Alligator mississippiensis: one gene and its partners. The main gene of each other region encodes a partner of the protein of the gene in region 2 in a complex. Links are inferred from orthologs where the notes say so. Each region holds a gene or a part of one and is shown on either strand. Other genes may lie near its edges. The genes, in order: ARPC5, ARPC2, ARPC3 and ARPC1B.

Region 1 (7,647 bases), on a different chromosome or scaffold from region 2:
TAACTTTTATAGTCAAACTGGTAGTAACTGGGTATATTTTTCCTTCTCTGCTTCTCCTTCCTCCCATGCTCTGCAGCAACGCTTCTTTTACCTAAGCTAAAGATCTCTGTGAAGCCCCAAAATACTGTGGGTTCTGCTCATCAAGAGGCTAAAGATTGGGACGTGCTAAGTTTGAAACACATAAGGGGATCAGCTTGCATAGACTGATTGACCCAGTTTGACTCAGACATGCCCTAATGAACTGAATGCTGGCCCATGAGGGTGTCAGCTGGACACCCAGCTGGATTTAGAGGGATTCTGTTTACCTGTGTGCTTGTGTCTGACTGCAGTTTATTGTTGCTCTGATGAACTGATTCTTGGCATATGAGGGTGTCACAGCCTGTCCATGCTGATCAACCCGGCCGGGTCAGGCATGTCACGTTAATCTGTGTGTGTTTGTGAGTATGACTGATTTGGTGACTGGAGGAACCCAGCCCCATTGAAACTGAGTCCTGCAAGATAGCTCCATTGGGGGTGAGGACTTGCAGAAGGGAGATATACAGCTCCATATAGAAACACAAGTAACACAAGCAGCACATTGACAGAATTGCCAAGACCCTAGAAACGTACCCTTAATAAATGAGCACGCCCCGAAGTAATGGGCAAATCTGGTAACACTCCATAACCTCTACCTCAACTTCTTCCAAAGTGCCTTCTGGAGAAGGAGACCTGGCTCTAGGGGAAACTTGAGGGGTGTGGAGCACAAACTCAGATGATTCCCCCTCCTTCCCCAGCATTTCCCTTGCTATGGCACTCAGATCCAGCTCCAGCTCCAGCTCTTCCTCTGGCACTGTAAGGCTCAGGCTGGAAATTAAAATTGGGTTGGAGGAGACTGCAATGCTGGTGCTGCTTGTTGCTGTCATGGTGGTGGTGCTCAGTGTTGCAAAGAAAATTGAATCTGTTCATGTGAAGTCGACCAAACTCCCAGAAGTCTTTTTGAGATGACTCAAAATTGGCAGTGACTGTGGCCTAAAGTTAACCCCAGTAAAATGCCAGGGAACATGGAACATTTAAAACAATGGAACAATAGAACCTTAAAATAAAATGATAACCTGGTAATTTTGGGGAGTAATTAATTTGGGGATGGGAAAAAAAACAGGAAAATATTCTCAAGGTGCAAGGATGTGCTATTGTATTCTTAGGATCTATGAGCCAAAATATTATATAACAAGCTTGGCTAGCATTAATAATGGTGACATCACTAAAGGGTTAAACAGCCTAAGCAGGTAAAGTTAGCGTTTGCTGTTCACTGTTCGTTGTATGGATTTCTGAGGGAGACACCTGCATGGATCTCTAAAGGAGAACCAAGCCTTCGGACTTGGAACAACAGCGTAACCCAGGAAGCTTTCCCAGAATGGCTGCATGAGGGAAGTAACTCTTCTGTAACAGCTCTAGACAGATTGTGAAGTAGTGAAGGGTCACGATAGCGCATGCAGTTTTTGGTAACTGTCTGCTTATATTCTGGCAATCCCAGTAAAATTGACTACTCGTATTCTGGCATCCCCAGTTGATGAATAGCTTTGTGCTTAGTAGATGTTTTGTAGTCAATAAAGTTTCTGACTGTTTATCGAACGAGTGCCGGTGGTTAATCACAGAGTTCTCCTAACCCACAGAGAAGTAGGGTTTAAATGAGCTACAGCCCAATACTCGGGGTTGTTGTTATTATGGCAGGTGTTATTGGAGGGGATGCAGACACTGCTCCCATCTCCTTGGTGCACTAGCAGCAGAAGCGGCATGGCTGCTAGTTGTTGGAAAGAGACTGCATCTAAGTTTGGGGGGGAGGGGAATTTAGAACTCTCCCTCTGCCCCCTTTTCATCTGAAACAGTGAAACAGTTTTGGCAAAACGAAACGGAACAGCGAAACAAAACATTGTCCCTTCGAAATGGCAAATCAAATCGAAACGAAACACTGCCATTTTGTACAACCCGTTATTTGATTTCCACAATGACAAATAAATGCCAAGTTAACACTTCCCCAGTCCCACTTTCCCACTCTTGGCCAGTTGAGAACCTTTCCCCATCTTAGCATTTGTCTGATACTGCATACTCTTCAGTTACTTTTTAGGAGTCCCTCACTCCCAGATGGGTGGAAATCCTTATAATCCCTGTCTACTTCAACACTCTTCATTCCACTAGCTGGCTTCTGCCATGACAATGGCTTATGGAGCTAGCTGGCCCCTTCCTATTTCTCAAAATGAAGCAAGAGAGAAGAAAAACACAGGGCAGATGGGAGGGGTGGCAAACGTGAAAAGAAATCTCCACCTTTGTATTTTAAGCCAGAGAAACACAGAACAGAACAAACTCTGGAAAGAAGTAGTCAAGATTCTTATTCCCAGGCTTCTGAATAACTGGGTGGTGCTTTCCCCAATTTACCTCCAGGAGCCCCATGTGGCAATGATATATGAGGGAGGAGCTGGCTTAGCTGGCTGTGGAACACTAGAAGTCACCATTACTTGCATCAGAGATGAAGATCTCTTCAAAAAAGGGGGCAGCCTGCACTCCTAGACATGTTTAGACAAAGGCCTTGCATTTTACAGGCAAACTTGGACTGAAAAGAGCCCTTAAAAAGCATATTTATAGGGTAACCACCAGAAACTGTTCACTAATCAGAATGCTACACTGTCTGAGGGGTACTGCCACACCAGAAATTAGGCAAACATTCCCTTGTAGCTTTCATTAGTCATAACACCCCAAAGCAAAAATGATTGCAAATAAACAAAAATTTGACTTCCTTCTCTAAGCTGGGAGATGTGCAAAGAGTAAACACAATAAATGTATAAATTACATGAATTAGAAAAAATGCTCTAATTGTCATGAATCTCTTCTGCAAATAGATGTGGATTTTTGTTCTTTAAACTCAATAGCATCTCTTTAATCATATTGTAAATCACCATGAAGAAAATGTTGAAGACAGCTCACTTTCTGGCTGGAAAGTTTTGGAATATTTAAAGTCAGGGACAGAGCTCTGATAAGGGTTGGAGAAACGGAGCATGATTTCCCTGACACTCTCTGCAAATGAAGCACCGAGCTTCCTTGAACGTTGTATGTTCCTGCACAAATTCTTGGCTGGGCAATGAATGTACTGCAGGCTTCCCACCACTGGGTGGGTGGGGCTTGGCCCAGTGGCAGGGCATGGGCGACACTGGGCCACTCCCAGGGCAGGTGCTGGGCAGATCAGCTCATCCAGGGATGCGTGTGGGTGCTCCCATCACTAAAGCCCCCCCAGCACAGCCCTGGATGGGCCGACTGGCACAGCACTGCATGCATCCCACGGGCAGGGGACAAGGCGGGGGAAGAGAGGGGCACATTAGATGGCAGGGGCAGTGATATGCCTGTGCCCTGCCCCACCTGCTAGTACCTCTCGCTCTGGATCCGCAGCCCCTGCTGGTGCCCGCCCTGCACTTCAGACCACAGCCCCCTCCCACCCCAGCCCTGCTGGTGCCCCACACTCCCAACGCGCAGCCACCTCTGCCCTGCACATGATGAGTACCCCTGAAACTTTTATAGGTTTTTTTTATACTTTGGGAACAGCTGTATGTTTTGAAAAAGTATTTTATCTAACCAAGGGCATAGAGTAGGTTGTTTAGGCTGGGGGAGATCGCTTGTTGCCTAGTTGCTTAATTGCTGGCCTTGCTAGAGGGAAAGCCATATCAGCAAGGTCCCTGAGGGGTTGGAAAGGGGGGTTACTGGCTGAGCTTGCTGAATAACAGGTGCCACATCAGCAAATTACACTGTCACGAAGGCAAGTTCAAACTGACTAGGGAAGGGTCTGTAGCTAGGGTGAAGTGCGCATGGACTAAAAGGGGCAACCTATAGTAACTGCATAGCGTGTAAGGCTAGAAGAGGCTATATAAGGCTAATGCCCACTCGGGTGGGTGTGCTTGCTTTGCGAACGATTGCCAAGCACCACTTTCTGCGCAGAAATAAAGATTAAGTTGGATCCTTCACCCCTGTGTGTTTATTGGCACAAGTGCACCGGGCACGAACTCACTGTCCTTTGGGGACAACACACAGACTGGGGGGGGGGCACATGCCCCTGGGCCTCTGCTGGGGTGTGTGCAGCAGCAGGAGCCCCCACCACGCGCCATGATGAGTATCCCGGCTGCATCCCTCACATCACTCAGCCAGGCCAGGGCCCCCCTCACCCCTGCCCCACTCCCTCCCTCCATCAGCTCCCCACCCCTCCCCCATGAAGTGGCCTGCTGGGTGGGGGTATGGCAGGCAGATCCTGGGTTGCCCCTTTACTTCAAAAAGTGATCTTCACCCTAAAAAGGGTGTAGACCACTCACGTAGCGATGTAAAAGCGGCTGCTGAGACGCCCGCTAACCGGCGCCCCCCAGGTCTTCCCCACAGGGGACTCGGCTGACGACCTCCCGCTTTGCCAGAGCTCCCTCCTGCGCGCCCCGCACGGCGGCCAGAGCTCAGGGGGCGGGACGAGGCTAGACCCCACCCCATGGTTTCGCCTCAGGCGCGGGAGGGGCGGGGCGGGGCCGGGCCTGGCACCGCCCAACCGCCAACGGCCCTCGAACCCCGACGGTTCCGGGACAAGGCCTTCTCTTTGCGCACGCGCACCGAAGGAGCTGGAGGCAGAGGAGGGCGCATCGCTACAGCGCGTGCGCGGAAGTGCGAGGCGGAAGCGGCGGCAGGAAGTGGCGGCGCGGGACGCCGGCACCGCCCTGCAGGAACGGAGCGAGCGGCGCAGCCGCGACAGGGCTCGGGGCAGGGGCCAGGGCAGGGCGATGGCGAAGAACACGGTGTCGTCGGCGCGGTTCCGCCGCGTGGACGTGGACGAGTACGACGAGAACAAGTTCGTGGACGAGGAGGACGGCGGCGACGGCCAGGCCGGGCCGGACGAGGGCGAGGTGGACTCGTGCCTGCGACAATATCCTTCGGCGCCCGGCAAGGAGCCGCGGGCCTGGCGGGGGCAGGGAGGGGGCGCGCTTCGCGGGGGCGGGGTCGTGCGCGGTCCTCGCCTTTTATGGGGAAAACGGCTGCAAGGGGCGGGGCCGCGGCCCTCGGCTCCTCCCCCGTCTCCATGGCGATGGAGGTGGCGTGGCCCTGCCGGAAGTGGGGGTTTAGCCACAGAGCCGCCTCTGCCTCCCCTCCCCCCCTCCCTATGGCCCTGAGGGGAGCTGGTGCCAGTGTAGGGCGCAGAGGAACACACCAGCCTTGGTGCTCGCTGCCCTTTGGGCAGACGGCCCTACCGAGGCTCCTAGAAATTTCCAGATGCCCAAGTCTTGAGTGTAGCAGCAATGGGCCAGCCCCTCAGCTCCCAGAAGCTGTGTCCGCTGGCTGCCTCACCGGAAGCCCCCATAACCTCCCCTGCGCTTGATGCCGCCTCAGAGATCCTCCAGCGGAGGGTTGTGCGGGGAGCAGGTTATTCATGCCTTGGGGTCAACTGCTGCTTTCCAGGTGCTTGTTTCCCCTCTTTGCCTTAACCTGTGTTCACAGGGAACATGATGGCTGCACTGCAGGCTGCGCTGAAAAACCCGCCCATCAACACCAAGAGCCAGGCAGTGAAGGTGAAGCAGGAAACAGCCATTCACCCTCATGCTTGCTTGTGAATCCTCACCCTAATGCTCTAATACCTCCCCCACCGTCCATCTCCCTCCCTCCCTCCTCTCTCTCTGTGCATGTACAGCTTATTTACATGCTGCCCTCTTAGCTAAGCTATTTTCTGCAAGCCTAATCTTACCAAAGAGTAGTACAAATTGATCGGCCGCTGCATATAGTCAACAACTCTCCCTTCCAGTGTAGACTGCAAATGTCAGCACTCCCACATTGGACAGTGCTTTGAATATATCATATGCTCCTACTGTTTGGCTGCCAAAAGGCTCCCCAAAGCAAATTGAGTGGATAGTGATCCCTTGCAGATACCTAATGCAAAGGCGACAGATGTGCGGTAGGTATAGAAATCATTCAGATTATACCACTGCCCACTGCTCTGTTTAAAGTAGACGTCTACTCCTCTGTCATTTTAAATTGGAGTTCATTGGCTGTACCAGATTCCCCAATCAATTGAAAAGGAATTTTTTCCCCTCACAGTCAGCCATGTGAATTTATGAAAGACTTGAGAATACAGACATTACCACAAAGATGACCTCACAGGCAGTTTTGTAGCCTCAGCAAACAGAAGCAGAACTTGAAGAACAGACAGAAAACCCAGAAGAAGACAAACCTGTTGCTGTCTTCACTTGGTTTGTTTTGAGACTGGATCCATAATAACATTTTTGGCTTTCTTATAATCAACTGATAAGACCAAGTTTAAGTAACTTGAGTACTCTTAAAGCTAAATTTGTATTACTTATCTTTAGGTTCATTTAGAATTGTAGATATGTGGCAAAGCCAGCTGAGCTAATGTTCTTCTGTTGTATGTATCTGTTATATAGTATGATTCGCAGCTTTGTGTTTCAGCTGTCTTAAATGCGTTTTTCAGTAGTTGAAAATGGAATGTTGTACCTCCTGGTTTGAAGAGATCTTTAACATTTGGGCACATGCCATATGAGTATGGATGGGTTTGGCTCCCAGTAGTGACCTTTTTTTCCTTCACTTCTTTACAGGATCGGGCAGAAAGCATTGTCTTGAAGGTGCTCATCTCTTTCAAAGCCAACGATATTGAGAAGGCAGTACAGTCTCTAGACAAGAATGGAGTCGACCTGCTAATGAAATACATCTACAAGGGCTTTGAAAGCCCCTCTGACAACAGCAGTGCAGTGTTGTTGCAGTGGCATGAAAAGGTATGTTTATAGGAGAAGAGTCCTGGTGGTCTGGTAATTCACATTAGTGGACACCCTTGTATCTAGGACTTGGTCTTTTTGTTGAGGCCAATAACAACCACTGTTTCTTCCTCCTGAAATACTACTGTCTGTATGACATCAGGAAAGACAAGGTTCTACTTGGAAAAGTGTGAATCATACACAAACGTACTACATATCTTTGAATATAGCCTTTAGAGCTGATGTTTGATGGCATTCAATGAGACTATGAAGGTGATGAAGTAGTCAACCGTAAAGATTAAAGCAGAAGGTTTAAATGGGAATGGAATGCAGAAGTTTTGACGCCCCTCCTCCACCACTGGCTCTTAAAGAAATAAGAGCTTGCAAAAGCAAGCTCTCTTTTATCAGTGCAACTTCCCCATCTGTAAAATAAATGTAGTAATACTTCTATATTTCACAGTGCTGCTAGTTTAGTGTTCCTAAAAGCACTTGAAGATGCTGAGAGGAAATGCGCTGTGAAAGTTCCAAATACTTTTAGCAGTTAATTGTTCCAGTTTGAGTTTACCTTGGCTCTTATTTAGTGTTATTTCTCTATTTTTTCAGGCTCTTGCTGCTGGAGGTGTAGGGTCCATTGTCCGTGTCTTGACTGCCAGAAAAACGGTTTAAGTCCAGCAACAAGTGGCTGTCTGCTATTGGTGTGGGAAATGCTGGTACAAAGACCAAAAGAACCAAATGTTGTCGCTGCCCTGTGGGTAGCATCTGTCTCTCTCAGCTTGCCTTCTTGCTGCTGCTTTCATATCTGACAAAATACGCATATCTCATTTCCTTTTGTTAACCTTTGGATAGTATAGAGGTGCAATTTAATTTCTAATGGGAATATTTGGTACTTGGA
Region 2 (7,872 bases):
ACTGAACTGCTCTGGTCAAATTAATTTACATGAAAATGAGTCTGTCCGTAGCTGTGGATGTGGTACCTGCTAGCAGACACTGACAGCCCTTTTGCAGAGTCTGAACCCAGCTGCTTAGCCAGCATCTTCTTCCTGTTCAGCAGTTTGATCCTCTGAAGCTTTGGCAGGAAAAGCACAGCTTGAGGTTTCCCCTTAGTTTAAACGATCTTAAATTATGTCGAATTGAGGCCTTTTACCCCAGGCTGTCAAAGCCTATTTTAAATATAGGTTTTAAATAAAAAGCCATTGATTTTGGTCTTCTTCCTACCCAATGCTGACGATAGCTCTGGCTGCACATTCGTTAGGGTTGCCAATGAAATGACGAGTCCTTCATTTCCATCTCTTAAGTTAAAAAGGCTCTTGATAGTGCATCCATCAGCAGGCTAATATGTCTTCTCCTGGACGGCTGGGACTCAGGGCATGCTCAGAGTGGACTATCAAGAGCTGTTTTCAATCACCAGCTCTCGTGACCTGAGCGAGAGACAGGAGGAGTTCAGCTCTGGCCTGCAGGCAACACGTGGAAGCAGACCAGAGATGGATGAAGGGCAGTCATAAGCAAAGGCTTCACTCCCCCGGGGGAAGAGAGGACGCTTTTAGGGGAGATGTTTCAGGCCATCTCTGCTGATAGGACGTTGCTCATCTAAGATCGCAGAGGTGCTCCCAGAGACACTCCCAGTGTAATAATGGCACCTAGGCGGCATATAGGAGACCTCGCAGGCGAACGACTCTGCTTGCCAGCTTTTCCATGACATCTCATGCGGATGCTCAGCACACAGAGCGAGCTCACACTGGGTGGGATTTCGGCAGTCTGCTCCACCACCGCATCACAAAGGGCAAAGATGCCTTTCACCTAGGGCTCCCCAAGCACTTGACAGCCCAGATACCCTCTCCAGTTTATGGCTGGCAACACACGGGTTAAATGATGCACCAACGTCACAAAGCGAGTCGGTGACAACGAATCTGGGATGTAGATCCTCGCCTCCCAGTCTGCACTTCGACCCCGAGACCCAGCTGTTGCAGAGGCTGATGGCAAATTCACGTCTGTCCACTGCTAATGCATCAAATAGGGAATACATGCGGTCTGCTGCATAGCGAGAGAGGATTCAGGATGCCTGTGCTCTTTTCCTTGATCATCACGGCCCCCTCATTTTGCCCCTATCCAGACTACCCTGCAACTGTCCCCTAGAAATGCCTTGATCAAACAGCTGAAATAACAGAATAAAAAATTGGCTGGAGGGCCACACCCAGAGCGTGGTGGTTGATGGGTCGCATTCGACCTGGAGGGCTGTGGGCAGTGGGGTCACCCAGGGCTCGGTCCTCGGGCCCGCGCTGTTCAACATCTTCATCAGAGACTTGGACGAGGGGGTGAAAAGCACCTTGTTCAAATTCACAGACAACACTAAGATGTGGGGGGATGTGGACACGCTAGAAGGGAGGAATAGGCTGCAATCGGACCTAGACGGGTTACAGGGGTGGGTGGATGAGAACAGGATGGGTTTCAACACTGACAAGTGCAAGGTGCTGCACCTGGGGAGGAAGAACCAGCAGCAGACCTAGAGGCTGGGAACTCCCCTCTCGTCAGTGCAGAGGCAGGAAAGGATCTTCATTATTGATGCCAAAATGAACATGGACCGACAGTGCGGGGACACGGTCAGGAAGGCCAACCGCACCTTGTCGTGCATCCACAGATGCATCTCGAGCAGGTCCAAGGAGGTGATCCTCCCCCTCTACGCGACACTGGTCAGGCCGCAGCTGGAGTACTGCGTCCAGTTCTGGGCACCGCACGTCAGGAGGGATGTGGGCAGCATGGAGAGGGTCCAGAGGAGGCCACCCGCATGATCAGGGGGCAGCAGGACAGGCCCTACGAGGAGAGGCGACAGGACCTGAACCTGTTCAGCCTCCACAAGAGAAGGCTGAGGGGGATCTGGTGGCCATTTACAAACTGGCCAGGGGGGACCAGCAGGCATTGGGGGAGTCCCTGTTCCCCCGAGCACTACTGGGGGTAACAAGGAATAATGGCTACAAGTTGACAGAGAGCAGATTCAGACTAGACATCAGGAGGCGCGACTTCACCGTCAGGGCGGCCAGGATCTGGAACCAGCTTCCAAGGGAAGTGGTGCTGGCTGCTGCCCTGGGGGGCTTCAAGAGGAGGCTGGACGAACACCTCGCCGGGGCTGTCTGACCCCAGCGCTGTTTCCTGCCAGGGCAGGGGGTCGGACCGGACGATGTGCATCGACCCGACCGACGACGAACTCTGAAAGAAAGACACTCTGCTATCTCCGCGGTCCCCTGCCCAGAACCAGCTGCTTGGTTTCCAACGTTTGGCGTTTCAGGGACGGCAAGAGACCTCCTGTCCTTGCTGCACAAGGCCTACACCATGAGACCGGCGTCTCCCTACACCCTTCGCCCGGGGCCTGCCTACACAGGAGCGTCTTGGTATCAGCTAGAGAAAAAGAAGAAATGCAGAAGTGACAACTTCCTCCCCAGGCGGCGGCGGCGGCGGCAGCGGCGGCTCCACCAAGACGGCGCAGAACCGACGCGGGGTTTTCTGTTTCGGAGCTAGACGTCTGCGTGCAGACAAGAGGCCGAGGGATCGCAACCGGGACGGACCGGACCGGCGCCGTGCGGACGCGGACCAGCCTCGGGCGGAGCCGGTCGCTGACCCCAACCCCCAACTAGTGGTGCGACCCTCAACCCCTCCCCTCGCCTCACTCCTGCCCCTCCCCCACCCAGCGCAGCCCCTCCCCCACCTCAGCCCCTCCCTCTCACCCGGCGGCCGCGCCGTCGAGCTTGAGCGCGAGCGTCTCCTCGATGATGCGGTTGTTGACCTCGAGCAGGATCATGGCGGCGGTCCGGCGCCCGGTGTGGGGGGGGGGGGTCGGACGGCGGCCGGGAGGGGTCTGTCAGGCGCCGGAGCCCACTGCACGCGCTGCGGGGCCGCCCGAGCTCTGCGCCGCTTCCGCTTCCGCTTCCTCGCCCCCGCCCCCGCCACTCGTCACTTCCGGGAGGCGGCGAGGAGGCGGAAGTGGGCAGGAGAAGGGCGGGCGGGCGCGGGCCGCGGGGAGGTTGTGCGCATGCGCACCAGAGACGCCTTCCTTGGCCCTGCAGAGCATCCACGTGTGCAAGGGAACTGCACGGGTTCCGCAAGGGTGTGCGTGGGATGCACGTGTGCGCGGGCATGGGGTTTGCACGCGTGCCAGAGATCCTCACACGTGCAAGGCATCTGTAGGTGTGCATGAGATCCGTGCACGGCTGTGGGATCCTGACGTGTGCCCGGGATTGGTACTGTTACCTGGGATCCGCATGGGTGCGCAGGTGCTATCCATGTGTCTGGGATCCATGTGTGCCCGGGATCCGCATGTGTGCCCGGGATCCACACGTGTGCACAGGTGCTATCCGTGTGCCCAGGATCTGCATGTGTGCATGGGATGGACCCGTGTGCACAGGTTCTATCCATGTGCCTGGGATCTGCACGTGTGCATGGGACGGACCCATGTGCCTGGGATGGACCCGTGTGCACAGGTGCTATCCATGTGCCCGGGATCTGCATGTGTGCATGGGACTGACCCGTGTGCCTGGGATCGACCCGTGTGCACAGGTGCTATCCATGTGCCCGGGATCTGCATGTGTGCATGGGACTGACCCGTGTGCCTGGGATCGACCCGTGTGCACAGGTGCTATCCATATGCCCGGGATCTGCATGTGTGCATGGGACTGACCCGTGTGCCTGGGATCGACCCGTGTGCACAGGTGCTATCCATGTGCCCGGGATCTGCATGTGTGCATGGGACTGACCCGTGTGCCTGGGATCGACCCGTGTGCACAGGTGCTATCCATATGCCCGGGATCTGCATGTGTGCATGGGACTGACCCGTGTGCCTGGGATCGACCCGTGTGCACAGGTGCTATCCATGTGCCCGGGATCTGCATGTGTGCATGGGACTGACCCGTGTGCCTGGGATCGACCCGTGTGCACAGGTGCTATCCATATGCCCGGGATCTGCATGTGTGCATGGGACTGACCCATGTGCCTGGGATGGACCCGTGTGCACAGGTGCTATCCATGTGCCTGGGATCTGCATGTGTGCATGGGACTGACCCATGTGCCTGGGATGGACCCGTGTGCACAGGTGCTATCCATGTGCCTGGGATCTGCATGTGTGCATGGGACGGACCCATGTGCCTGGGATGGACCCGTGTGCACAGGTGCTATCCATGTGCCCGGGATCTGCATGTGTGCATGGGACTGACCCGTGTGCCTGGGATCGACCCGTGTGCACAGGTGCTATCCATATGCCCGGGATCTGCATGTGTGCATGGGACTGACCCGTGTGCCTGGGATCGACCCGTGTGCACAGGTGCTATCCATATGCCCGGGATCTGCATGTGTGCATGGGACTGACCCGTGTGCCTGGGATCGACCCGTGTGCACAGGTGCTATCCATGTGCCTGGGATCTGCATGTGTGCATGGGACGGACCCATGTGCCTGGGATGGACCCGTGTGCACAGGTGCTATCCATGTGCCCGGGATCTGCATGTGTGCATGGGACTGACCCGTGTGCCTGGGATCGACCCGTGTGCACAGGTGCTATCCATATGCCCGGGATCTGCATGTGTGCATGGGACTGACCCGTGTGCCTGGGATCGACCCGTGTGCACAGGTGCTATCCATATGCCCGGGATCTGCATGTGTGCATGGGACTGACCCGTGTGCCTGGGATCGACCCGTGTGCACAGGTGCTATCCATGTGCCCGGGATCTGCATGTGTGCATGGGACTGACCCGTGTGCCTGGGATCGACCCGTGTGCACAGGTGCTATCCATATGCCCGGGATCTGCATGTGTGCATGGGACTGACCCATGTGCCTGGGATCGACCCGTGTGCACAGGTGCTATCCATGTGCCTGGGATCTGCATGTGTGCATGGGACGGACCCATGTGCCTGGGATGGACCCGTGTGCACAGGTGCTATCCATGTGCCCGGGATCCGTCTACCACCTGCAAGAGCCTCTCTGGCTGCTGGCTGCGGGCAGGGAGCAGGCACGTGCTGGTGCCGCCTGCGCCGCTGTGCAGTTTCCGGGGCTCGGTGTCGGTGCGCTGGCAGGAGGCAGCACAACCCAAGGACCCCATCTTCGTCGTCCTGTCGTCATCTCCAAGGCTCCCTCCTCCCAGCTGAGGGGGAAGCCCATGACAAGCCCTCCAGGCGCTGCGCTATCCTGCCGCCTGGCTGGAGGGTGCCGGCTGCTCCGGTGAGGAAGTCACTAATGAAAGTCAAACATGTCTGTTTTTGCAGGGGTCTCGCTGGAAAGCTGCCCAGACTTAAGTGTGAGCGCGTGACACCTGTGTAAGAATGAATCCCCAGGAAGCCATAGAGAAAAAAACCCAATTGCAATGCCACATTTCTAAAAGAGGTGGCAAAAGTTACACCCCCCCGACCAAAGCAAAAGGTGAGACTTGCAGCAGCAGCAAGGCAGAGCGCTGGAGATCCCGAGAGATGCCTTGACGAAGAAGGGCCGCGTGCTGATGGAGACGCCGCAGGGCCTGATTTGCTGTGGTATCAATGAGCCCAAGGTGTGGATGGAGCGGTACGCCGTCCTGACGGAGCAGCAGGTGAGAGACCTCATCTCCGTGCTGGAGGAAGCCAAGTTCATGGGAGATCCTTCCAGTAAGGAGCTTTATGCTTTATCTAGAATCTGAAGACAAATCCATTTATCTGGGGCCACAATTCTGGGAGACTCCGAGTCACCTTGAGGGAGATTCCCAGCCGGGGACTTCAATCCACGAGGCCTCTCGCCTCCTGGGCACGTGGGACATCCCCTACCAGTCAGTCAGCTCCTATGTTGCCTGCAGGGGGGTGATGGTGAAAAACAAGGCAAAAAACTGAAACAAGTCAAAATTTCATTGTCTAGTGACTGCGATGCTAAATGCTGAGTATGAGTTTGAGCTGACCCTACGGCACTGGGGAGACTACTGATGCCAAAACCTCGAGCAGGGGCGGGGAGCAGATGCCAAAACCTCGAGCAGATGCAAGCAGGGGAGATGCTCCAGCTGTGGGGAGACGGCGAGGAGCTCCGTCTGCAAGAGCGCCGTGCCTGACGAGCTCTTTGCTTGTCTGAACAACCGGAGGTGAGTAACGTCTGTCTCTAGCAGACGCCCTTGAGCGGGGGTTTCCCTGGGAGACCTGGTGCCTGCAGGGCCCAGCGCCATTGCAGGACGTGCCTGCTTCTTTCCATGCCTGGGCACTGGTCAAACGGGGGACGTGCCCAGCTAAAACTTCAGCCAGCAGCCCCAGCCCACGGCCGCCCCCTCCCCACCGCTATCTCTTCTGACGCGGTTCAAACATTGGTATCACTGATTTGCAACAGCAAGTGCAAGCAGCATAGGCAGGGCCTAGGCTGAATGCTCCCTGGGAGGCAGCAGCCTCATCAATGGGCATGTGGAGGGTGCCAGGGACCCCTGCAAGCTGGACCGGGGCAGGTGAAGGGAGCTCAGGGCACCTGAGCCAAAAAAAGGTTGAGGTGACGGTCACAGCATCAGAGGGGCCTGCAGAAGGGTGGGCGCGTAGTGGGATCACCATGGAAGGCGACAGGAGCGTTAACACTTTAGACCTATGAAATAATTTCCCCCTTTTCTTTTTTCTCCTTTAATGAATTATTAAGGAGGAGCACTGATAAAATGCTGAGGAAGAAGTTGCTGCCGGCCCAGGACAGGCTGCAGCAGCATGTAGTGGCACTTGGGGTAATAGCTGATGCTGTGGACGAGGTTCACAGAGAAGCCACGATAGCAAATGTTGCTGGAGGGAGAGCGGGCATCACGGGCAGGATCACCCACATTGTGGCGCGCTGCATTGTCCCCGAGACCTTTGTTGTATGTCTGATGCTCTCCAGCAGACAGCTTGTCATCTATATAGTAGGCAGTGCGATGGGTGCAGCAGTGACTGCCTCCGACATATCACTGGAGAGTCAAGCCAAGAAGGGGGAGAGAAGCAGGATCCAGACAAAGGTCAGGCTGTGCTGAAGCAAATCCAGAAGTGCATAAAACAGCTCTCTAACGAACAACAGGATTCAGAAAGCAATTTTGATCATGATCTGCTGCTTATGATCCTGCAAATTGGGTCAGCAGCAAGGTGGACCGCTCTCAACACCATGAAGATGTTCAAAGGTGGAAAGCGGCTGAGTAATGCCGGCTACGTTGCAAGATTCGCAGGAGCTAACGTGTGTCCTGATAACCCTGAAAACCTGATCCGTCTTCTGTGTAGTCAAGAACTTCAAAGATGCCAAAAGAGAGCTGACATCTGAGATCCGAGAGACAGCCGCTGAACTGGAGCGAGTGATTTACCAAGCCAACTACACGTATGAGGCACTGATTGGAAAGAAACTCAAGACGACGCAACACTGCTGCTGGGTGCTGGCACCGGTGAGGTTGCAGCCCTGCACCTTGTGCCCCACCATCGGCACAGAAAGCTGGGGGGCATGTGCCCCCCCATGCATCACATACGGCGAGAGACCAGAACCAAACCGTGAGGAATAATAATGGGCCTGAGCATCCATCTCCAACGGCTGCAGCTAGCGTTAAAGGGACTCAGGACCTCACCCAACAATGTGCGTATGACTAGCGAGAACATGCAGACAGTGCCCGTCCTGCAGGCCTCGGACATGGGCAGTATCTGAAAGGCCACGATGGTAAGAAATCCTCCCTTCCAGCAGTGTATCTTGCCCCGGGACATCAATCCCAGCTAACTGGCACCTTCCCAGTCCAGAGGAAACCTGGTTCAGGCCCTTTCACAAACATCAGTGAAACCAAGAAATGTGACTTAAACCCATCCAAAACAC
Region 3 (7,348 bases), on a different chromosome or scaffold from region 2:
CACTGACAGCACTCCTGAGGAGTTTCCTCACCCAACTTCTTTTAGAAAGGAAAACAATTGTTTCTTTGCATTTTTACCATACACAAAAAGATATAAACTCTCAAGGGGGTCACAAGTGCTGCAGTGAAACAGTTCTATGTTTAAGTCAAGTCCCAGCCTCCACAAATGTGCACAATACCTTAAAGGTACATTTCTTACCTTAATTTCATAATTTTTGAAGAAGACATTTGCTTTGAAGTAGTAGATTGCTTCATCAATAATATCTGTGTCCTTTGCTAACAAGAAAGAGAGGGAAAGTTAACCAAGATGCAGGTGTACAGGACTGGCCGAGATGCACAGTAAAAATTCCACTGTTTCTTTTCACTAGTCTGTAGAAAAATAAAATCCTTACGAAATATGATGCTACAGATAACTTATCCCAGTTCTCAGCAAAGATTTGATAGCAGCGGTAGTGCTGTGGTCATGCCCCATATGACTAACGTGCCTTTATTTGCACGAAGGAGCACAGGCTACAGCCACTCACCACTTGAACAGCAATGAGTTCAAGCTTTGTACTTGCCCAAGTAAAGCAAGCAGCTTTGTTTTGTCCATTTTTGCCGTGATTGCTCGGTAATTCCCAATGGGTCTTTCAGTCGTTAGTGAGAAATAACAACAAGTCTACTATCATTACAAGAGGATGTTGGTTATAGCTATCATTATAATGCCCTCTGAGATCAGGTCTAAGGGAGGAGGGGAAGAAAAAGACTAATTTAAAATTAATCAGGAGAAACATAATCCTTCACCTTCCTCATTTAAAAAAAAAAAAAAGAGAGAGAGAGAGAGATAACAAGCAAGCTCATAACATTAGATCCAGCAGGCTTTGGGTTTCACCAGTTGACACAAACCACCTAGATCTAGAGGTTGGTCCCTTTCAGCATTGAAATGGTATAATGCTGTGGAGCAGTTGTGGAAAACAGAGACACAAGATAATGAAACAGCATTAAAACAAGCACTAAATAAAGCCTTCCCTGTGGTTTTTGAACAATTTTATCTAGACACCACCACTTCCGGGTTCTCAGTTCTACTTTGAAGGAAGTTACAACTACAGGGCCTGCCTCCCCCATTTCTCACTGTACAGAGCAGCAGAGGCACTCTTCAGCGTTGCTGCTTTTTTAGCTGAAGACTATGCTAATTTTTCACCCTCTTAATCTAAGATGCATTTCTCTAACACGACACATGCCACTCATCAGCTACCTAGTGAAAACCACACCCGAGAGGCCACAGCAAAACTTGTCCTCCTGCACGACACAGCAAACCTAGCTTGAAATGAATGAGAAGCTTAAAATACATTTTAAAAAGCAAAGCAATTAGAGAACCGAGAGCTGGATCTCCTTGGAGACCGTAAGCTTTGGGTCTTTGAAGGCATGAAGAGAGAAGACAAACCAAAATGGTTTGAGCATTTAAAAGACAGATGAGGAAGTCACTGCGTTCACTATTAATCTAGACCGAGAGGCCCCACTCAGTCAGGGCGACCACAAAGTTTGTTTCTACCACATTATTCATGCTGCCTGTGCAGCACACCTTGTTCCTTGCCGTCTACATCTACTGCAAGCTCCCTGGGACTGTGAATTCTGCATTTAAGCACCGCCTGGCAAAAATGGGGCTCATCTCAGCTGATCCCTAGACCCCACTGGAATAAGCAAGCGACATTCTCCCCCTCACGCCCTGATGCTACTCATGGTATAAAAAATACGCAGTTGTGGCCCCTGTCCCAGGGAGCTGGAAGGCCCCAATCCACCAACTGATCTGTGGAGGCAGAACCGTGTGCCTATCCAGACCCGTTAACACAGACGGGATTTCACATGGATCTGCCCACACAGATCTAGTTACAGCAGCAGAGCCCTGCCATCACCAGACACACAGACAGCCTGACAGAAGCCAGGCTGCAGCCAGATTTTGACCTGTAATTCCTAGAGGCAAGAAGTGGGCCTGAACAAAGACAGAGGGAAAGGAAGCAGCCATTCACGGGGAAAGGAACAACCCACGACTGCGGGGGGGAGGGGGGGTTTGCAGAAGAGTTAAAGCAAGGGGACGGTACGGGGAGACAACGCTCGAGCTGACAGCTAGACGTGAACGGGAGCTAAAAAGAGAAGTCAGATGAGCTAGCTCGCTGGTTGGAAAAGGACAGACTGGATCACCACCAACACACTGGCCCACGTTCACGTGTAGGGGGGTCATCGGCACAGTTCTGCTCCTGTTGTCCGCACACAGCGTGCGCCAAACCCAGGCATTCAAAGCTCATCTCAGTTTGCAAAGCAGCGGTCTGCTCCCTCGGCAGCTCCTGGCATCGATGAGGTTTCTTGCTGGCTTACGAGGCGCCTTGAAGGAGGCTACCAAGCGCAGCACCCATAAATGACGCAAGTCTCCGTGATCTCTCCTGGGTCGCAACCAGCCTGGAAAGGCTTTGCCCGGCGGCGGTTCCCCAGGCCGCCGAGCTTTTCCAGAGCCCTCAGCCAGCCCCACCTCCCACAAGAGGCTCGCCTTAAACCGACGCAGAGCGAGAGAAAGCAAGGGGCCGCCGCCGACCCCGCCGCAGCGCAGCGAGGGTCCAGCAGCACCGGGGGGAGAGGACGGCCGGCTTCTAGCCGCCTCTTGGGGGGCGCAAGCCCGGCTGCTCCCCGAAAGCCTGCGCTGCCAACCCGAGCAGGCCCGACACCTACTTTCCCGGGGCGCCGGTCCCTTGAACTGGCTGCGGATGGGCAGCAGGGCCATGTTGCCCACCAGCTTGGTGTCCGGGTCCATCAGCGTGGAGTGGTAGGCCTGCGGAGAGAGGCAGAAGCCGGGTGTGGCGGCGGCGGCAGGAGAGCCCGAGCCCGAGCCCCAGCCCCAGCCCCAGCCCGCCGGGGGTGGGAGCACCCGCGGCCCCCTCCCCGCACTTACCGGCATGGCGGGGACGCGGCGCTCGGAAGCAGGAAGTGCCGCGCCTGGAGGGCGGCCGTTTCCGGCCCCGCCCCGGAAGGGCGAGGGCGGATGCAAGCCCCGCCCCGTGGGCGGAGCCAGCCCAGGAGCGCGGGAGCCGGCGCGTGGGGGAGACCAGCGAAGGCTTGGGGCAGTCGAACAGAAAGAAGACAAGCAGGGTCCTCGGCTCTCCACAGCCAGAGAGACGAGCCTGATGTAGAGAGAGCCCTCATCTTCCACATCTAGGAATATAGTTCAATAATAATTACATTCAAAAAAAAAGTCTGGGTGAGACCTGGAAGCAGAGGGGCTGTTGGCCTGGCGGGAAGGGAAGGAGCGCGCTCTGGCCTGGCGTGGGTGCTGCGCCTGGGATGTGTCCACGCAGAAACCGTGGTTTAGTTTGTGTTTCTAGACAGCATCATGCTGCCGCCCTGAAGGCAGCCCCGGCTCTGGTGCCCGCACCTCCAACAGGAGGGGGAAGAAAATATTCATCGACGAGCGGAGATTTAACTTCTTCACGTTCCTGCCAGAAAGGAAACTAAGGGTTGCAACGGTGTCCGAATCCATCCTGGGAAGTTATCAGCACACCAACATGGACATGCCCGTGTCCTTGCATTTACAGTGCATAGACTTCATATTGGAAAGGCAAATGCACATTTATATTACATTTTTAAAAAACCCATTGGACTGCTGTATAATTCAAATTCAACATTTACTGTTTATTTGAATGAATGCCTTATCATTTCTCTCCTGGCTGACTCTCAGCAGTTTGTCTCCTGGAGATTTGTATCTAATTCCTGGAGACTCCAGGGCAATCCTGCAGGGTTGGCAACCCTAGGAAGAACTAGAGAAGGACAACAAGGATAATGAGCAGAAATGGAGGGGCTGCCTTTGAGGCCAGGCCTGCTCCACTTAGGAAAGAGGCTTGAGGGGGGCCAGGAGAAGGGTTTACAAACTACCACATGGAGAAGAGGAAGTGAATAGGGATTTCTCAGACTCCATCACCTGACAAGACATGGGGGTCACAACATGAAACAAGGTGGAAGTCGGTTTAAAACAAACACACATGTTCTTTTTTACACAGCGTGGAATTGAAGCGTACGCTCATGGCCACCAGATGTGGAAAGTGATAGTCTAGCTGAATTCAAGAAGGAACTGGACACGTGCTTCAAAGGAAGGGGCACTGGCACTGTTGCGCACGGCAGTGAGGGGCATGGCCTCTAAGCAGACCTTTCTGGGTCTTCAGTGCTGGAGATTGCAAGAGAGGAACAGAGGAAAAAACCTGGCTCAGACCCAGTTCAGTCTCTCTTCCAGCACCCACTCTCTGCCCCCGTGCAGCACAGGAGACTGGGCAAGACAGACCTATGGTCTGACCTGTTGTTTGCAGCTCCTATGTACTTAATCATTAATGTTAATATTCCATGCTTGTGGAAACACCATCCATCACGACATTGTGCAGTAGTCACCAGTATGGAAGAGGCGACCCAAGAATGATCCTACAGAAGCTGGAGAGGCTTGATGGGCGCAGTGGCCGGGGCATACAGAACCTGCATACAGGAAAGATGCACGGCCCATTTCTACACACTATGAAACTCTTAAGTCACTTTTAACCTGAGCAGTCACTGAGTCTAGGCCACAGGGATAAAGTCTGCTGCATACTTACATCTTTTTAGGATAAGGCCCTGAGATCTTATTTCTGTGCAAAGGCTCTGGAGGATCTGTTACACAAGGTTAATACAAACACCAACAACTTAAGAATTTTTATAGGGAGAATGATATGCTATAGTTTACCTTATTGGCTACTGACTTCCGGTCTACAAAGCACACCGTCTGCAGCTGGGATGATTAAATTATTTGAACAACGCAGTTTACCTTTTGGCAAATAAATTGTTTTATGCCGATTCTTCCCTCTATCATTTCAACTGTTAGTGGAAAGTTACTTTAAGCATTACCTTATTGGAGGGTGAGGGAAAGGCTGCCCAAAAGTGTTAGCATTACATACAGCTAAATTCAGCAGCTCCTATTCAAGTAGCATATGCATTGAGATCCATAGTCCTCTAAGGATTAGTCTGATCCTTAATGCATGAGGGAACATGTTAGAAGGACCACTATATACATAGAATAGGTCACTGGCTGGATTAAGCAATTTAAAAGTGACTTATAAAGGTCCCCTGTATGGATTTTAAACAAACACCAACTGCTACTCTATTCCTCATCCCCTGTTAAGATATGCCCCCGAAGTCTGAAAATAAGGGTGAAAACCTGGTCCACCAAGCTTCACAGCACAACTGCCATTATGAACACCCACTGTCCTATCCAGTTCTTTCCTTCCTCTCCCTAATGCACCTGACACTGGCAGAGCTGATTTTATCTAGCGCCTCATATTATATACAGATTCAAACATGCAATTCTAGCCTTCTTCCTACAACCTCCCTTAGTGAAGTGCAATGCATCGAGATGATATAAAGCAGGGGTGCCCAACCTGCAGCATGTACCACAAATGGCATGGGAGCCACTGTCTGTGGCACGCAACAGATCAGGGAGGAAGCAGGGAACACAGTGGCAGATGGGGCAGGGAGCAGAAAGTAGAGCAACAGGTCAGACAAGGGAAAGGGATTGGGGCGGCATCCAGGGAGGATGCAGAGCTCACTTTTTGGCAGATGTATCACAAAGGTTGGTCCCCACCCAAAAAAAGATGATCGACATGAATCTGAGGTGACTGAATTACTCACAAGTGGGAGAGCCACAAATGAGTTATGCAAGTCTTTCCAAACAAGCATCCCTGTCTCTCACCTGCTGGGCTCTACACAGTGCACGGGGCCCAGCTGGACAAAGGGTTTGAAAGCAGGGGGAAACCTGACTGTGATCCAGCAATCAGTGATGTGATCTGAAGCTCTAATGTTACACCCCAGGTAAAAAGTGTGAAGCCTAAATAACGTAATAGTATCCCTAAAAACATACCAGATAAGACTTATAGCTGTGTTAAAATGTGCAGAAAATTGAAATCTGAACATGAACAGCCGTAGTCTTACAAAACAGGTAGTTAAAAGGAGAAACAGCTATCACTATTTTTCCTGTACAAACTATATATTGTACACAACAGTATCATTATTCAAGGAATGAAATTTAGGACATCCCAAAAAAATCTTTTTGCACATCTACATATTTTACAGAACGCTACGGTCTCCTGCAGGAAATACTGCTTGCAACTTTCGGAACGGCTCCATAAATTTAAAATATCAAGTCAACTTTTTAAGCCAGATTTCTCTTGCAGAGAACTTACCATTAACTAGGGAATTTCAGAACATCTGGAAGATAGAGGAACACTGTCAAGTTGCCTAAATCTAAAATGTAGATTGTTTAAAAGAATAAAACTGGTGATGAATTAATAATATTCCATGGACCAACCGGCACCTGGTATAACCAGGGACAGCAATGTTGACTTCAACAGTTACATCTATTCATGCAAGATAGACTGATCACCAGACTCCTATTAGCTTCAATATTTTCATGATGTTTATTAAAAAAATGTTATTGGGGAATTAAATGCTTCCCTAAACTGCAACCCAAGAGCACTCAACTGATTTACGACAAGCTGAAGACTGAGAGAGACAACTCCATTCTAAGTTGTCTAAATGTAGCGAAATACAAGCATTGAACCAAAGGCAGAAATGGTTAAACCAATTATATTTTTTCATCCCTTGGTACAAGTAATTAGTTGGCTTGATAGAAGCTATTAAAAAAAGTCTATGTTTTTTTATTTTGACAGTGCTCCTTTACAACCACTATACTTTTCAAACAATTCAAGATTCTGTAAGAATGTTATTTATGCCAAAATATGTACATGCAAAAATGAAAACTACTTATTGATGTAATGATGTGGAAGATAAAGGATTAATTTCCAGCAGATTTACAAAAGTTTTCCACCACATATTTATATATTTAAAAAATAGTCTTACAAATATATTCTGAGATATATTTTTAACTTATATTTTACAACCAGGCGATTCAACTCCTCTTTTCAAATGCACTCTCTCTACTCGTCCACTTGATCTTGAAAATATTCATCAACAAGAGAAGATTTAACTTCTTCACAATCCTGCCAGAAAGGAAATAAAGAAGTTAACATTCAGTTCCATTTCCTTCTGTCGCTGCAGTAAATCCTCTGTTCCATGACATTTTTCCTGCAGTAGGAATGAATGCACTAACACAGTTCCACACCCCCACATTATAAGGAGCACTGAAAAGCAATTTGGTTTCAACAGTCAGCCTAGAAACACCTTGGTGCTAGTTACCATGGATCCAAATCTAAATTCAGGGATTCTATGTATTCAAAGAGTGCGGAGCAAATGGGTTTTTCTTTTGAGCGGAATAAGGTGGTAGGAAGTATTTGTTCTGAATAACAATGCAA
Region 4 (7,873 bases), on a different chromosome or scaffold from region 2:
CAATTATTTTTAAGTGAGTTGCAAAGGGAGAAAAAGGGGAGATTTTTGCCTCCTCCTTTCTTTTTGATGCTTCAAGATGATTTGAGAAGTTTAAAAAAAAAAAAAAAAAGCAGCATGGGGAAGAGGTTGTTTTATTATTTTTAGCCTGGAAATACCAAGTGTTTTCTTCCATTGTTTGTGAAAGAACGTACTGGACCGTTTGCTTTTGAGCCGTGAATTGAAGGGCTGGGCACTGAATAGTTTGAGGGAGAGTGCGAGAGCACATGTGCCCCCACATGTTTCATTCCAGCTGTTGTTAGAGAACAACTATTAAATCGCTGTTAATAAGCTGCACAACAATAAGGTTTACACAACTTAAATAATCTCATCCTGCCTTCATTTATGTTTCCCTTGCATTGGCAGTGCATTTTACAGCCCCCCTGGCTCTCCCCGTCCTCCTTTGAGCACACAAGATCTCAAGCTGCATGTAACATGAGAAAGAAGTAGGGACCATATAACCAAAACTGAGCTTTCCAGCCACCTCTGCATACAACAAAGCAGCAGAAAATAATGGGCCTACGCAATGATTTCCCCGTGGGTGGGCACCTTTACCTCTGAACTACCATTGAACTAGCTGGTCCCATTCACTGCTGAAGCTGCTTCATTACAGCCCTCGAACCAGCAGATCTTGGCTCTCTCCAGCAGAAAGCCACGGAAGTTTACAACCTTTGCGTGCTGGGGAATGCCAAGAGGAGTGGATCTCCAGAGCTGATATGGCTCAGATATCTTCCTCTGGAACTCCTTTTCTGGTCAGGCTTGAGGCCCTCACTGATTAAAAAACATCCTGGGAGAGAGAATAGCACCGGCTGGAGCAGAGCAGCTGGCAACGCCTGATCTAGGCTGAGGAAGTTGCTCAATGGAAGGAGCCTCCATGCGTTTGCTGTGTGCGGGGCTGGAGTCCGTCACAGTGCAAGTGCTGGATCTGCACCCCTGCACTGCCACCTCCCCTGGAGCGGGTGTCCTGGCTCTGCAGGAAGTCGTGGTCAGCACATAGGAGCGTCAGATACTATTTTACCTTCCCTGCCCCCATGCTGAGCAGTGAGGTCTGTCCTGCCCCCCACTCAATAGCTCATTCACCTGTGGGCAGCTATAACAGGGGGATGGATAGAGGCTATGTTGGAGTAGGTAGAAGCCACGATCTCTCCAGTCCTTATCAACACTGCCCTTTAAATTGGCAGGGGCAGTTGCTGCTAAGTACCTAAAGGCGGGGGTAAGCCTGCTTCCTCTGACAGACTGCTTCAGTCGTGGGACAGAAAACCCAAGGCTGAGAATCAGACCTCAAATCCATCCCAGAGGCTCCTGTCCCAGTCCAGGGTTGGGACACCGCACTGCAGGTCTCTGCCGGACTCCTGCTGCCCGGGCTGGAGAAGGCAGAGCTGCTCCCCATAGCGCTCCCCTACATTCACAGCACGTCTGGCCTGGACACTGCCATAAAGATATTATACCCCAGGGATCACCTAAGGAGGTGATCAGTCCTTTTCTGAGGTGGGGGGAATACATAGAAAACTTTAAGGCCCACATCCCAAAAAGGGACTCAGGTCCAAACTCCCATTAAGGAGTGACACTTAAGTGACAGGGGAGATTGGAGACAATCATGTTTGCCTAGGATTAGAGTTCACTTAGTCCCTTAGCAAGAAGGTGCCCATGACTTAAGTGCCCCCATAATACATCAGCAGGGTGAGGAGCCAGGACGGGGGGCAGGGGAAGACACTTGGTTGGGTGAAAATGGCTCAGGAGTCTCAAGCTTCCTCTTCCTTACCCCAAATGACTGACCAAAGTCATTCCCCCTCCCCGGGCTCCCGGCTCTGGGGCTGCCTGCTCCAGCACAGCTCATCCTGAGGAAACCTGCCACAAAGAAGAGCTTTCTGCCTGGCTGATGGCTTGTACTTCCCAAAGCAAATCCTGCTGTGCTTGTGCTCAGCAGCAAACCCAGACTCACAAAGCCCACTGCCCAGCAGATCAGCATGTTGCCCACCAGCCCACCTGCGTCAGCTGCTAAGGGAGCATACAGGTCAGAGCTCATACCCTGCACCTGCATCCCAGATGGCTCGTGACCCCCTAACACGCCTAGCATTCAAAGAGGAATCGGTCCAGTCCTTTTGGACAAAGCCGGAGCACCCTGAGCTTGGGGGCAGAGACCTTCCTGCATCAAAAGGCAGTGCCAGGATCAAAAGGGAAAGCCAAAGAGGGGAAGAAAAAAGCCAGTCGGGGCTCCGGTTCTCCTCTCACCTACAGCAGGGCCTAAAGCAGAAGTAACTCTGCGAGTTCGACAACGTGATGCCGGCCCCAGGCAGCAAGCGGGCTGAGGGCGCAGGGAGGGGGCCCAGATAAAAACCTGGGAGCGGGAGCCAGGAGACGGGGTGTGTCATGCCTCACGCCGTTTGCACTCGTCTCCGGGGAAGCTCAGCTCGGGACCCTTCCACATCAGCTGAGCTTTCAGGCCTCCCACAAAACTAACACAGCCTGTGAGAACCGGGGGGTGCAGGGGGAAAATCAGCCCTGAGGAGCAATGGCTGCAAAGCAGAAGGGGACAAGCCAGTATCAGGCAGGAAGTTTGTTCCCAGCCCAGCACTGCTCCTGTATTAAGCAAATACACGGAACAAAGATTTTGTTCTTCTTCTGGGGGCACCACCCCAGGGGTCGAATGTGCTGCCAGCAGCTCCGCTAGAGGCACCGGCTTCCTACTCCCTTGGAAAAGAAAAAAAAAAAAAATCAAACCCTGACAACTCACCTTCACAGGGAGAGGAGGAAGGTGGGGGGGAAGGGGTCCTGTCTCCAGGGGCCAGCTGGTTCGCGGACTCTGGGCAGTCGACACGAACGGCAGCTGAGCCAGCTCCGAATGAAAGGCAGAAGTTGAGCTCGCTGTCTGAAGTCGTCCCACTTCCCTTTTCCTCTCTGAGAAATCTAACCACTTCCTTGCGTGGGCGTTGGGGAACGGCAGCGAGCAGCACAGGCTGCCTCCAGCAGCAGCAGCAACCGCCTCTGAAAGGCTGGGTCTGTGCGCGCGAGCCCTGGCCCTGCTTTCCAGGCCCGTCTGCGAGGCTTGGCGGCCGACACGTGGAAATGCTAGAACCTGGAAAAGGAAAGGCTTCCCTTGCTACAGCTTGGGAGATGCCCCTGTAACTCAGGGTCCACATCTGGCCAAAACCTGCTGGATCGGAGGGGGACCTGGATTCAGACGGAGACTGGAAGACCGAAGGGCTGGGGCAGAGAACGGCAGACGGATGACAAAGAAAGGATTTGTCCTCTTCTCTCTGCAGTGCTCATGAGCTGGCAGGGAGCAAGAGGGAGGTAAGTGGACATGAGCATCCAGAACTACTGGGTTCCCGGCTTTGCCAAGGGACATGGGTTAAAGGCCCCAGCAGAGCGGGGCCTGACTCCCCCTCACTGCCACCAGCAGCTCCAGCAAAGTCAGGGGTGTTATGCTGGTGTAAGACTGGTGTGAGTGAGATCAAAATCAGGCTTCTCCACAGGGGCATCACCCTCCTCGTGCTCTCCCAGCCTGGAAGGGGAGCTGGGACACTGGTAAAACACAGCTACATTATGTAAGGTCTAGAGTCATGGAGGAATTAACCCTCAGCCTGGGGCCTGAGCCAGGGACACAAGACAAGTGGCTTGTGTTCCTCTCAGCTTTTTCGGGACAGCGCAGCCCCAGCACTGCTTAAGGCAGCCGTGAGGGCTATCCCACCTTGGCATCCAGCAGCCATGACCTCTCCAGCCCTTGGGACACCAGAAGAGTCAGCGTGTAGGGTCAGTACAGGCTTGGCCTGCTCTGCAGCAGCCCCAGGCTGGTGGCAGGGGGGTGGAGGGGAAGGGGAAGTTGTGGAGAAACAATTCTCAAGAAGTATCTTTTGGTCTCTTCTGATGCTGTGGTGTAAAGTAGCCACAGGACAAAAGCAACCCCGACCTCCTCCCCTGCTGCTTTTAGGCTATAATTGGCATGCAAAGTCACTAAAAGTCATGCACACACCCCCACCCCACCACCTCCAGCAGCCACTTGCCCCGACCAGAGCTCTACACCCCTCTGCAACAGTCATTACAAGGAGTGAAAGCAGCATAGGAAACAGCTTCCTCCGATGCTCCAACCCCTGGCAGTGCCAGCCCAGGAACCCTGGAATCCCGAACTCGGGTCTCTGGAGGAAACAGCTTGCAGTTGTGCTCCACATCTGGAGCAAGATTAGCAGACGTTGGCTCTAACTTTTTAAAGGGATGCTCTCAATTTGCGCATTTTGAAGCCAACCAGCTGAAAGAGCAGTGTACTCGGGCAGTCTGCTCTTTTAAGGATGGTTGAGGCCTACAGTTCCTTCCAAGCCCCCCTTCATTAGCATATAATGGATTTAAAATAGCTTTCATCATAATACAGGAGGGGATTCCTCTGACCCCACCTCCCTTCCTCCTTAAATTGTCTCTTCTTTCCTTCTTAAATTGTCTAGCAAGTGAAAAGCCACCAGAGTGTGATCAAAGGCACAAAATAATACACTGACAGGATTTTCTGCTCACTCCTACAACATGCATTACCAAAGCAGTCACCACCAAAGTGTCCACAGCCAACCTGTGTAATGCTGTATAGCACTGGTTGGTTTTCAACCTTTTTTCATTTGCAGAACCCTAAAAAATTTCAAATAGAGGTGCGGACCCCTTTGAATTGTAAGTGTAGGTATTTACATACTTTTGATTGATCAGTCATCTTAATGGACCCCTTTGACGGGGCTCGCAGACCCCCAAGGGTCCATGGATCACAGGCTGAAAAGCACTGCCAAGTATTAATTGCCAGGGGCACTGCCAGAGGGGGGATGAACATGCTGAAATGATGGTATGGATGTCCTACCAGTGTCCTGACTGCTTCCCCATTTCATTCATCTTCGCCCCCTCCAGCAGAATCCCAGCTGAACCCAATAGCACAGTGCCTGCAAGAGGCTCGGAGCACTGCAGCAGCCTAAGCTGGGGGGACACCACCACAGCAGCCCCCACAATGGGATGGCTCCAAGACTAGCCTGGCAGCAGGCCTCCCTGTTTCAGATGCACATAACTGACCTGGCTACATGGGCTGGGAGAGTACAAAACTTTCCTAGACGTGCTGGCAGCTGCCCCACTCCTCACCACCTGATTTGATTCGTAATGCACGACCACCCAGGCCAACAGATACTTCAAGACCGAGAGCTGTAGTTCACCTGATGTTTCATGTCCTCAAACCTCACGCTGTCCTGCTGGTAGCTAGAAGCTGCTGTACCTCAGCTGTGCTGCTTTGAGCTGTTGTCTGGGGAGCCCTGCCCTGAACACGGCTATCCGTAAGCTGAGTCCCTTTCCTTGCAACCAGAGCATCTCGGGCTACAGGAATAGTGCAGCTAATCACCAGTCACGGGGGACCTGAGAAAGAAAGCAGGTTTATTCCAGCACCAGACAAGAAGGCTCTCCCCTATATGCCCGTGTTTAAGAAAACCCATCTGCCTGTAACATTTCAGCATGTTTCGGTGCTGCACGGTCATGGCTGAGAACAAATGACAGGTCAGCTTCATTTCTGCAGCAAGGAACCCCTCTCTCAAAGTAGCAGAGCTAAGAATATCACCCTGCACAGTTCCCTATCTGCTATTGCACTTCCTCATTGCTTCTGATCATGACTGGGTTCCTGCTATGCTTCTTCAGCTCTTTTGCAACTCACAAGGACAGAAAACAGGCACTGCCGCATATGCACGGTTCCTGGAACAACCTAGTGTTTCTCCAGGGTACCGTGGCGCTGTCTAACTTGCAGGAGAGTAAGTGGGGGTTGCTAGCAGAAGGGATAGGTACCAGGGCTCCTGGGGTCTAGTCCCAGTTCTGCCATTGAATCACTGCGTGCACCTTGGCCAAACTACTTAGGCTGGTCTGGCTCCGCTCCCTCAGCCCAGCCTAACCCCAGTAAAATGGAGCGTGAATGTTGTTCCCATAGTAGGGCTCGCACCTCAATTATACAGGACAAGCTACAAGTATCACACGTGCACTGTGCTGTTTGCTTCCAGAGGCAGCATCGGCAATCCTCAACACCACCCCGATTCCTTCCCTCTTCACGTGCCTAGCGGTGGTTACAATCAGGCAGGGCCAATTTGGTGGCTCTAAATGCCTAAACTTCAATGGGGACTTCTACAGAGCTTAATACAATGCTCAGAGGAAGGCTCAGACCCCTGCAGCCTGTTCAGCCCCAAACAGATGATCAAGCCTGAGCTATGACATCCATCATCTGGTTGCACCTTGAGATACCTTTACTCTTGCTTCTACTGTAGTTGTGCTTGAGGCCCAAGACTTCTTTGTTCTAGATAAGAAAATAGAACAGACTGCCCAGGCCCAACAAAAGCTCCCAACATAATGAGATGTTTGGGCATGTAGCCAGGATGCCTGAAGAGCAGGCAGGAAAAGGTTCAGGCCAGGAGAAAGCAATATATGAAAAGTTTCAGAAGAGAGGGTGATGGACAGGAGCCTATGAAGGATGAGGACAGGAAAAGAAGATCCACCTAAGCTGGAAGCCCACTTAGAAAGCAAGAGCACAATGAAAATGATCAGAATCTAAAATCATGGGCTCAATTTTAAGTTGTCATACCCACTTGGCTCCATCCTCCGTTTTCAACACGCTGTAGTTCAAAGCCCTGTAATTTGATCAGCTGAATGCACAAGGCCCAGCCAGCACTACAGCTCCTTCAGAGACCAAGAGCTCTTTCACAGAGTTGCTACAGGCAAAATCATAACGAACCCAAAGCACTTTCCATTATAGCTGCAACAAATGAGTTACACGTGCAGGGAAAAGAGCCACTTGTTGAAAGTGGCTCAGCCGTTTTGCTTCAGGCCTTATCGTAGCCTGCCTGGCACTCATGCCCGTGCATAACGCAAGCAAGGGGAGATTGATTTACTGAAGGAAGTATCACAGGATGTGGGGTGAGCAAATTAGGAGCATGAAGTCAAGATCAGGCTGCCCGTTCTGACAGCTCTGGACTCTTGCAGGAAGCAAGATGAAGGCTGTCTGCTCCTGATACTTGGCCCAACTGTATAACTGACTTGTGTAGTGGAAAGCAAATTGGATTTGAAATTACATTCTGCGTGGCCGTATTAATCCCTACTGCAAGGAATCTCACGGAGATCCAAGTGAAAGGGGCTCACGGCAGGTCACACACATCACTCAACTCACCTGACGTTCCACAGCCAACTGGCAGAGCTTTCTATTCCCCAGTTTCAGGAAGGTATTCACCAAGTAACAGCTTGAAATGCTGCAATTTCTCTGTGTCTGTTTATGCTCCTTGTGGATCCAGTTCCAGCTCAGGAAGTCACGCAGACAACCGAGCAGGATGCACACATAACCAGCTGACAATAAACCCGCTGCAGCAGTATAGTCTTACAGCCAGGGTGGGGTGTAGGACAATAAGCTGATAAGATTGCTTGTTCCTTTATAAGTGGAGCTTGTTCAACAGGGGCACTGCTTTCTAGCTTTCCACTGTGCCTTCAGAGAATCTCTTCACACCCTTTCATCTGTGCCATCTATTTCTGAACCCTGGTGTCTGCTACAGCTTTTAGGAAATGAGGGATAACACTTCCAGCAGCATCCAATGGGCTTGGGAAATTAAATCTCATTTTGCTCCACAGACACTTAAGCTTCTAAATCACCAGAACACTTTTGAAAATGTGACCCAAGGTGACCAGGGGTGTGGCGTGTGCTCTTCCTACAACCTAACTGCTGAAACTTCCTTAGCCTGATGAAGGGTTATCGAACCCAAAAGCTTGCTTAATAATTGTTTTCCAACTATTTAAGTTGGTCTAATAAAAGATATCAGATTCACCCAAAGAACCTTGTCTACCCAGGGTGACCAGCATC

Evidence for each region.
Region 1: ARPC2 (region 2) and ARPC5 share a complex: the UniProt entries of both Homo sapiens proteins name them as parts of the arp2/3 complex. The link is inferred for Alligator mississippiensis from reciprocal best matches to the Homo sapiens genes ARPC2 and ARPC5.
Region 3: ARPC2 (region 2) and ARPC3 share a complex: the UniProt entries of both Homo sapiens proteins name them as parts of the arp2/3 complex. The link is inferred for Alligator mississippiensis from reciprocal best matches to the Homo sapiens genes ARPC2 and ARPC3.
Region 4: ARPC2 (region 2) and ARPC1B share a complex: the UniProt entries of both Homo sapiens proteins name them as parts of the arp2/3 complex. The link is inferred for Alligator mississippiensis from reciprocal best matches to the Homo sapiens genes ARPC2 and ARPC1B.

Annotation. Positions count from the first base shown.
Region 1 is NC_081828.1:54,673,323-54,680,969, reverse strand, and holds the start of ARPC5 (actin-related protein 2/3 complex subunit 5), read left to right. Parts: upstream 1-4,634; 5' UTR 4,635-4,778; coding exon 4,779-4,922; intron 4,923-5,489; coding exon 5,490-5,561; intron 5,562-6,599; coding exon 6,600-6,776; intron 6,777-7,358; coding exon 7,359-7,421; 3' UTR 7,422-7,647. UniProt on the Homo sapiens protein: Component of the Arp2/3 complex, a multiprotein complex that mediates actin polymerization upon stimulation by nucleation-promoting factor (NPF).
Region 2 is NC_081827.1:253,618,890-253,626,761, reverse strand, and holds the start of ARPC2 (actin-related protein 2/3 complex subunit 2), read right to left. Parts: upstream 3,011-7,872; 5' UTR 2,883-3,010; coding exon 2,809-2,882; intron 1-2,808. UniProt on the Homo sapiens protein: Actin-binding component of the Arp2/3 complex, a multiprotein complex that mediates actin polymerization upon stimulation by nucleation-promoting factor (NPF).
Region 3 is NC_081833.1:2,196,650-2,203,997, reverse strand, and holds the start of ARPC3 (actin-related protein 2/3 complex subunit 3), read right to left. Parts: upstream 3,016-7,348; 5' UTR 2,926-3,015; coding exon 2,920-2,925; intron 2,800-2,919; coding exon 2,700-2,799; intron 276-2,699; coding exon 199-275; intron 1-198. Other genes in the region: GPN3 (GPN-loop GTPase 3), read right to left, coding at 6,974-7,036. UniProt on the Homo sapiens protein: Component of the Arp2/3 complex, a multiprotein complex that mediates actin polymerization upon stimulation by nucleation-promoting factor (NPF).
Region 4 is NC_081836.1:53,629,549-53,637,421, reverse strand, and holds the start of ARPC1B (actin-related protein 2/3 complex subunit 1B), read right to left. Parts: upstream 3,003-7,873; 5' UTR 2,771-3,002; intron 1-2,770. UniProt on the Homo sapiens protein: Component of the Arp2/3 complex, a multiprotein complex that mediates actin polymerization upon stimulation by nucleation-promoting factor (NPF).